Linked DNA regions of Coturnix japonica. The protein of the gene in region 1 purifies or fractionates together with the protein of each later gene. This does not show direct contact. Links are inferred from orthologs where the notes say so. Each region holds a gene or a part of one and is shown in the gene's direction. Other genes may lie near its edges.

What was found.
Region 2: the proteins of IRF2BPL (region 1) and VGLL4 purify together in Homo sapiens (affinity purification with mass spectrometry; 3 studies listed by BioGRID and IntAct, counting the BioPlex papers as one, with this or other methods). This does not show direct contact. The link is inferred for Coturnix japonica from reciprocal best matches to the Homo sapiens genes IRF2BPL and VGLL4.

Annotation. Positions count from the first base shown.
Region 1 is NC_029520.1:35,383,840-35,388,238, reverse strand, and holds the start of IRF2BPL (probable E3 ubiquitin-protein ligase IRF2BPL), read left to right. Parts: upstream 1-1,475; 5' UTR 1,476-2,087; coding exon 2,088-4,313; 3' UTR 4,314-4,399. UniProt on the Homo sapiens protein: Probable E3 ubiquitin protein ligase involved in the proteasome-mediated ubiquitin-dependent degradation of target proteins. Through the degradation of CTNNB1, functions downstream of FOXF2 to negatively regulate the Wnt signaling pathway.
Region 2 is NC_029527.1:2,958,036-2,961,838, reverse strand, and holds part of VGLL4 (transcription cofactor vestigial-like protein 4), read left to right. Parts: intron 1-1,360; coding exon 1,361-1,583; intron 1,584-2,629; exon of another isoform or gene 2,630-3,003; intron 3,004-3,089; exon of another isoform or gene 3,090-3,168; coding exon 3,169-3,289; intron 3,290-3,803. UniProt on the Homo sapiens protein: May act as a specific coactivator for the mammalian TEFs.

The DNA of each region.
Region 1 (4,399 bases):
TCCGCGTTCTCAGCGGGCCCGAGCTGTTCCCGCAGCTCCGCTCCGCTTCTCGTGCGAAGATCGGCACGGGGCGGGACGAGGGCAGGACGGGGGGCCGACCTCGCGTGAGCTGCGGCGAGCGGAGGTGACCCGCTCGGTCAGGGGGAGGCGTGCGGGAGCTCAGCCCGGCGGCTGCCGGGAGCGCGTCCTGCCCGTGTGCGGGGGCTGCGGGCTGCGGGCTCACAGCTCCGTGTGGATCAACGCGTTACAGCTCAGCTCCTCGGGGAGCCGGATCCGCGCCGCCAGCCCCGTGTGCGCGTCTCGTGAAGCTTCTCCTTTAACACAGCTCCCCTCACACACGTTTCAAATTCGTTTGCCAGCTTCGTATATTATAACCGGACGCATATAAACCGCTTTAGATAACTAAAAATGGAAATGAGACGCAGTGGCGATACGAAAGGAATTATTTAAAGGAACAACTTTTCGTCACGTGAGCCGTGGAACGTTATTAGCCGGGCACGAGGCAGCTTTGTGCTCGGGTCTCAGGCGCCAGTCAGCGGCCGCGCGTACGGGAGCGTGCGCTCGCACGCATCGCTGTCCGGCCCCGGCGCAGCCCCACAAATCCCGCAGCGCAGCGCAGCGCGTTGCCGCGCCCCCAGCGCGGTTCGGGGGCAGCTCCGCGGCCGCCCGGCGCGGCGGTGGCTCCCGGGTCGCGCTGACGCGGCGGGGGCGCCGTGCCCCTCGCGAGCCGCGGGCCGCGCCCGTGACGCAACCGCGCTCCCGGCACGAGCGGCGCCGCTTCGCGCGACTCCGGCGTCCGCCGCGCCGCTCCGCCCACGGAGCTCGGCGGGGAAGGGCCGGCCCCGTTTGTGTTTCGCTTTCCCCCCGCCGTTAACGTTCCGCTTCTTCGCGTGGAGCGGAGTCGATGCGAGCGCTCTGCCCGGTGGCGGCGTTACGCGAGCATCGGCGGCCGGTTAAAGGGGCAAACGGCCGCGCGTTTCGACGGCGCGGGGGCAATCCTCGTCCTCCCCGCGTGAGCATCTCGGCGGTCCCTCGCCCGCCGCCCCGCCTTACACGGCACCGCGGGGTCGCACACGCGGCGCCGCCGGGGCACGCGGGACCCCTCCGGCAGAGCGCCGGGCGCCGGCGGCCTCACGCCCGGCAAACGAGAGTGAACCGAGAAGGCGCGGCCCCGGAGCGGCGCGCACGCACGCGGCCGCGGCGCGGAGAGGCGCTCCCCGCCGCCGTACCCCGCGGCCGGGCAGGGCGCCGGGCATGCGTGCTACGCGCAACAAGTGGATGCGCGGCGCGGGCGGAGGAAGGCGGCGGGGGAGCGGGGCGCGGAGCCGGGTCGTGACGCGGGGCCCCGCCCGGGCGAGCCGCCCCGCCCCGCGCCGAGCCGGGCAGGGCTGAGCCATGCTGGGCTGAGCCATGCTGAGCGGAGCCGGGCGCGCGGAGGAGGGGCGGCGCGGGGGGAGCGCGGCGCGGCGCGGAGGAGGGGGCGCGCGGGCACGGCGGCGGCGGCGCGCGGTAGCGCGCTCGGACTGCGAGACGGCGGCGAGGATGTGAGTGAGGAGCAGGCGGCGCCGCTCGCCACGCTGCTGCCGCTCCGCCGCCGCTCGAGGAAGTCGCGGCGCTCCGCCCGGGTGCCTCTCGTCGGCGGGACGGATCGGATCGGTTCGGCTCGGATCGGCGCGTAGGGAACGGAGCGCGAGCTCGGCGGGCGGCCGCGGCGGGTGGAAGGTGACCCCCTCCCCCCCCCCCCCCCCCCCCCCCCCCCCCCCCCCCCCCCCCGTCTTCCTCCGAGCACCTCCGCCTCCTCCCGGAGGAGGAGCAGCGCCGGAGAGGCAGAGAGCGCCGGGAAACAGACGCGGCGAGAAGGCGACCCCCGCCCAGCCCCCCGCGGCAGCGGCAGACGCCGATCCCCTCCCCGCCGGGGCAGCAGCGCCGGGAGCGGGCGGCGGCGGCCGTCCCCGGCTAACAGCGGGCGAGCCTCGGCCGCGAGCGGCGCCCGGAGCGGGTACGGACGCTCTTTCCAGCTCCGGCCCGCGGGGGAAGAGCGAGGCGGCCCCGACAGCGGCGGCGTCGGCTCCCCGGCCAGCGGCACCATGTCCGCCGCGCAGGTGTCGTCGTCCCGGCGGCAGTCGTGCTACCTGTGCGACCTGCCCCGCATGCCCTGGGCCATGATTTGGGACTTCACGGAGCCCGTCTGCCGCGGCTGCGTCAACTACGAGGGAGCCGACCGTATCGAGTTCGTTATAGAGACGGCGCGGCAGCTGAAGCGGGCGCACGGCTGCTTCCAGGACGGCCGTTCCCCGGGCCCCCCGCCGCCCGTCGGCGTCAAAGCGGTGCCGCTCTCGGCCAAGGAGGCGGCGGCGGCGGCCGCGGCGGCCCAGCAGCAGCTCAACCATGTGGACGCGTCCTCCAAGGCGGCTTCGGGGCTCTCCCAGTCGGGCCTGGAACGCTACGGGCTGAGCGCGGCGGCGGCCGAGCAGCGCGGCCGCTTCGAGTACCCGCCTCCTCCGGGCAGCCTGGGCGGCGGCCACGGCGCCCGCCTGCCCAACGGGCTCGGGGGGCCCAACGGCTTCCCCAAGGCGCCCGAGGACGGCCCGCCGGAGCTCAACCGCCAGAGCCCCAACTCGTCGTCGTCGTCGTCCTCCTCCCGCCGCGGCGCGCACGGCGGGCTGGTGTCCGGCCTGCCCCCGGGGGCGGCGGGCGCGCAGCTCAACGTTCCCCCCAACCTGCTGCCGCAGACCCTGCTCAACGGGCCCGCCGCCTCCGGCGTGGCGCTGCCTCCGCCGCACGGGGGCCTGAGCGGCCGCGGCGGCGGCGGCCCCCAGGCGCCCTCCGCCTCCTCCCAGGCGGGTGCGTGCGGCGGCGGCGGCGGCGCCGGGGGAGGCGGCGGCCCGGCCCCGGAGGGCTGCGGCAAGCGGCCGGGCTCGGTGTCCAGCAGCGACCAGGAGCGCGAGCTGAAGGAGAAGCAGCGCAACGCCGAGGCGCTGGCCGAGCTGAGCGAAAGCCTGCGGAACCGGGCCGAGGAGTGGGCCAGCAAGCCCAAGATTGTGCGGGACACGCTGCTGACGCTGGCCGGCTGCACGCCCTACGAGGTGCGCTTCAAGAAGGATCACGCCCTGCTCGGCCGCGTTTTCGCCTTCGACGCCGTCTCCAAACCGGGCATGGACTATGAGCTGAAGCTCTTCATCGAGTACCCCAGCGGCTCCGGCACGGTCTTTTCCAGCGCCTCCGGCGTGGCCAAGCAGATGTACCAGGACTGCATGAAGGACTTCGGCCGCGGCCTCTCCTCGGGCTTCAAGTACCTGGAGTACGAGAAGAAGCACGGCTCCGGCGACTGGCGGTTGCTGGGGGACCTGCTGCCCGAGTCCGTGCGCTTTTTCAAGGAGCTGGTGGGCGCCGACATGCTGCCGCAGCCGTACCTGGACGCCAGCTGCCCCATGCTGCCCACGGCGCTGGTGAGCCTCCCGCGGCCGGGGGCCGGCGCCGGCGGGACTCAGGGCGCGGCCGCAGCCTCCCGGGGCCCGGGCGGCGGCGGCGGCGGCGGGAGCGGGGCCATGCGCAAGAGGAAGGCGTCCCCCGAGCCCTCGGACTCGGCCGAGGGGGCCCTGAAGCTGAGCGACGAGCAGCAGCGGCAGCAGTGGATGGCCAGTCAGAGCGAAGCCCTCAAGCTCACCATGTCGGCCGGGGGCTTCGGGGCGGTGCACGGCGGGGGCCCCCCGCCGCCGCCACCGCCGCCCCTCGGGCCCCACTCCAACAGGACCACGCCGCCCGAGTCCGCCCCCCAGAACGGACAGTCCCCCATGGCCGCGCTCATGTCGGTGGCCGACACGCTGGGCAATGCCCACTCGCCCAAGGACGGCAGCTCGGTGCACTCCACCACTTCTACCCGCAGGAACAGCAGCAGCCCCGTGTCGCCGGCCTCCGTGCCGGGCCAGCGCCGCCTGGCCTCCCGCAACGGGGACATGAACCTGCAAGTGGCCCCTCCTCCCCCCAGCGCCCACCCCGCCATGGACCAAGTGCACCCCCAAAACATTCCGGACTCCCCCATGGCCAACAGCGGGCCCCTGTGCTGCACCATTTGCCACGAACGCTTGGAGGACACCCACTTTGTTCAGTGCCCTTCGGTGCCCAGCCACAAGTTCTGCTTCCCCTGTTCCAGAGAGAGCATCAAGGCCCAGGGGGCGACCGGCGAGGTCTACTGCCCCAGCGGAGAGAAATGTCCCCTCGTAGGTTCCAATGTGCCTTGGGCGTTTATGCAGGGCGAGATCGCTACCATCCTAGCCGGGGACGTTAAAGTGAAAAAGGAGAGAGACCCTTGAGTAGGAAATCCGATCCCTTCAGGCTCCTGAAGATGTAGAATTGTGAATATAACGAACTGCAAAAGTTAGTCTTATGTATAGACATT
Region 2 (3,803 bases), on another chromosome or scaffold:
TTGCATGTCACTGGCTCAGAGCAGTGCAATCCTAAACTTGCTTCCTTCTGAATGCCAATCTGTGGAGTAGGTTGTGAGCTGAAATGGTAGCAGAGCTGGCATGGGACCGAGATGTAACACTGGGAGAATGTATTTCCTGGTGGTGTGTGGCTGCTTTGTCAGATCTAAATCCGGCCTGTAAAGGAGTATTCAAGAAACACTTGGTTTTCAGAGGTCATCTTGAGCACTGGCTGTGGAACCATACAGGTTAGGCTTTGTGGTTGATTTCAATCATCTACAACTACTACTTTGTAATTAATTAGAAGGGATACGTGCTTTCCAGCAGGGCAGGGATCTGAACAGTTAAGAAATAGTACGATTTGTCCCTTGGCTGTTCCCTTCTATTGGGCTAAAGATGGAATTATCCAGCAAAGGTTCTGTTCCTGAATACAGGAGAGATCTAAACCCTCATTCTGAGCATGTGATGGCTTTCCTGGTTCTTGTGTAGAGGGACCACAGGTATGGGAAGAGTTCTGAGGAAAATTAAGTAGTTCCCTGGAGAAAAAATAGTTGAGAGAAGCAAGAATAATTGGTGGTGCAGCTCACTGTGAGCCAGTGGTTGGCAGGTGGCTGGGAGTGACGTGTGGGTGAAGCTCCTTTGCTTGCTTCACTGCCTTCCTGTAATGAAGATGTGAGTACTGCCCATACACCAAGTGTGGTGTAAAGTGAAATATCTCATACATGAGTACAAAATCAGCATTGCTTTAGTTGCAGTGAATGAAAACTTGATTGTGTGAGCGTGTCCGCTGAGAGCTGCTGTTCAGCAGTGATTTGAAATCATTCTTTTGAAGATTCATGGTAATTAAATGGTTCTGAGATGTGTAGTTTGCTTCTCTTTCATTTTCTGCTCTGAAAATTGTGCTTCCTGCTCTGAATCACTGAATTTTGCTGTTACCATCCCCTGTCCTTTGGCTATATATATTTTTGGGCTTCAGCAGTGCTTAGGGAATATTGCAGTGTCAGGGGGCAGAGTCCCATTTATAGTATAACAAATAAGGAGGTGTCTGATCATAACAGAGACCAGTTATTATCAGTTGTTACTTTAACTCAGTGCATTTAGAAAAGCTTCTTAAGACATTCCAGAAATTCTGAAGAGTTCTGAAAATCAATGTTGGTTGCCAGAGTTTGCAGGTGTGAATCATTTTCTTGCCTTTGTTGGGAGGTGGCTGGATAGAGCAGGGTACCTCACCAAGGGATGCTGTACCCCTCCCAAGCAAAATGCACCACCTCACATTTCTTAAAGGGATTGAATGTAGCGTATCTCACTGTAGCTTCTAAAAACCAGTAAGTTCTTCAACTTTTTTTCTTTTTCTTCTATTAGAAACAAGACTGCCAATGGAGATTATCGAAAGGAGCACAGAGAGAGGAGTCGCAGCCCGATAGAGAGGGCTGCTGCCCCAACCATGAGCCTTCATGCCAATCACATGTATGCCTCAATCCCAAGTCTGACCATGGATCAACCTCTCGCACTGACCAAAAACAGTATGGATGCAACCCGAACAGTTGGCATCACACCTACACTGACTTCTGTGGAACGGCAGCAGGTATTGGCTTCTGGGTCGACAAGGAAGTGGGGGGCTGTAGAAATCCTTGCTGTAGACACAGTGAGGACTTCCCAGACATAAGCAGAACATATTGTGAGTTACAGTAGGTTGGCGATACCATTCTTTAGGCAAATTGTATTTTAAAAAACGCATGAATTAAGCACACTGAGCAGTGTATTTAATGTGAATTAAATTCCTGGTGTTCAGATGCATCTGTCAGACTTCTTAGCCATGCTGCTTCTTCTGACGCTTTGCTAAGCTTGTGAACACGTGTTTGAATTGGGAATACAGAGTCGGTGTTGCTGCAGCTAAGTGAGGCTCTGGTACCTGTCAGGCAGTAACTGATGCAGTGCATACGTAGAGGGCATTTATATGTGCTCCCACTGGCAATCAGTGAGTGCTTGGACTATGATGAACTGCAGTGTTGAGAACTTAAGACTGGCCTGTATACCCAAGCTCTTCCTTCCTTCCTTCCTTTTGCCCCTCCAGTGATGCACTGCAAAGGGTAAACACTTGGAATGGATGATCTCTCCGAGGCTCAGATTTTTTATATGCAATTTGTTGAAAGCTTTTTTTCCCCTGGAGCGTGTGCTTTACCTGCTGTGTACATTTTTACCACAGTTGGCTACATACACTGGTCTACGTTTTGCCACGCCAAGATGCCTGGCTCTACACCAGTGTCAGTCTCTTGCATCATTCAGCACAGCTCACACAGTTATCGTTCTGTGCAGAACAGCTTTTCTTTGCCCTCAGCGTTCAGTGATGACAGAGGAGGAAGGGACAGGCTGCCAATGACGCCACTGCTGCCCTTTGATAGCATGACTGCTGCTTCTCAGCTTGGCAGCTAACAGCGCTGACACTCTTCTATTATAGCATTTGGCTTGGGCTGATTCCTATTACCCATCAGCAGATTCCCTTCTATTTTATCATCTTTGATAACTTTGAGCTACATTGCAGTCTTCTTTCTTGAGGAAATAGGATGTTGAGGTAAGAAGTGGCTAAGATCGCAGAGTAGAAATGGTACAAAGGAAAAACAGCGTATTGAATGAAAGCACAATTTATTTTTCATGTTGCACATTGAATGGGATTTTATCTTACTGTATGTTGCTGACAGAGAGGAGAATACAATAGCTTTTGTTTTAGGTGGTGTGCAGGTATTCAGTTGCAGTAGCTGCTGTTTTTACATTCTCATCTCCTCATCCCAGTGTTTTTTATATACATTGGCACAGTCTGCTCGGTGCACCTGCACAGGCAGCATCATGCCAGCGGGATCTGTGCGACGCCTCTTGTTTTTGGCAGTGGTGAACACATTCCTGAGACCAGCTCTCCTACTACTTCTCTCTGCTTCTCATATCTTGCATGTCTAAAGAAGCATGCACACATTCCTTGCACTGCTCCACAGATGCACATAATGTTTGCCCTTAAGGAAGTTAAAAAAATTAAGAAGTGCCACATGTGAACTGCTTACAGAAAAATGCAAATAAATAACCCCTTTTCTTTATTTACCTTTTGACTTTGCTGTCCATGCAGTAGGATGTGAATGGCATTCAGACTGATTGAAGGCTGCCTTTTCTCTCCCCATTAGAACCGACCGTCCGTCATTACGTGTGCGTCTGCCAACAACCGGAACTGCAACCTCTCTCACTGCCCCATTGCTCACAGTGGCTGCGGTTCAGCAGTGCCTGCCTACAGAAGACCCTCTAGCAGTAAGTCACATCTCAGCACTCTCACTAACTGCCTGATAAGAGCTGGAGAACATTTCCTCACTAACTTCAGCTGTGTAGGCTTTGGTGTATTACTAAGAATAAAGTGAGGTGAAACAACAGGCACCCCATTCTGTATCCTTTCTACCAGAGGCACACATGCAACTGCGCGTCTTCTCACTGTCAGTGCTGTGCCAGGATAGAAGATACCACTTCAAAACTAGAGAGTTGTCCTTTTCTCTTATTTTGAGAAGTATTGACAAGTAAGTCATTACATTTATTGCAGTCTAACTAACAAACAGCAAGCAGAAGTGAGCAGCAAATCCAGCCATGCTCTCACTGCATGTGCCGTACTTCCCAGCCTTTCAGTCGTCAGTCACCATCCATGATTCAGCTGCAGCAACAAAATCTTTTGCTGTAGATGCAAATCCTCTCCCAAAGCACAAACCCTCCACCTTTCTCTGCAGGGATGGCGTGAAGGGCAGCTTTGGAGGGCAGCTGCTATAGCAACCCAGAG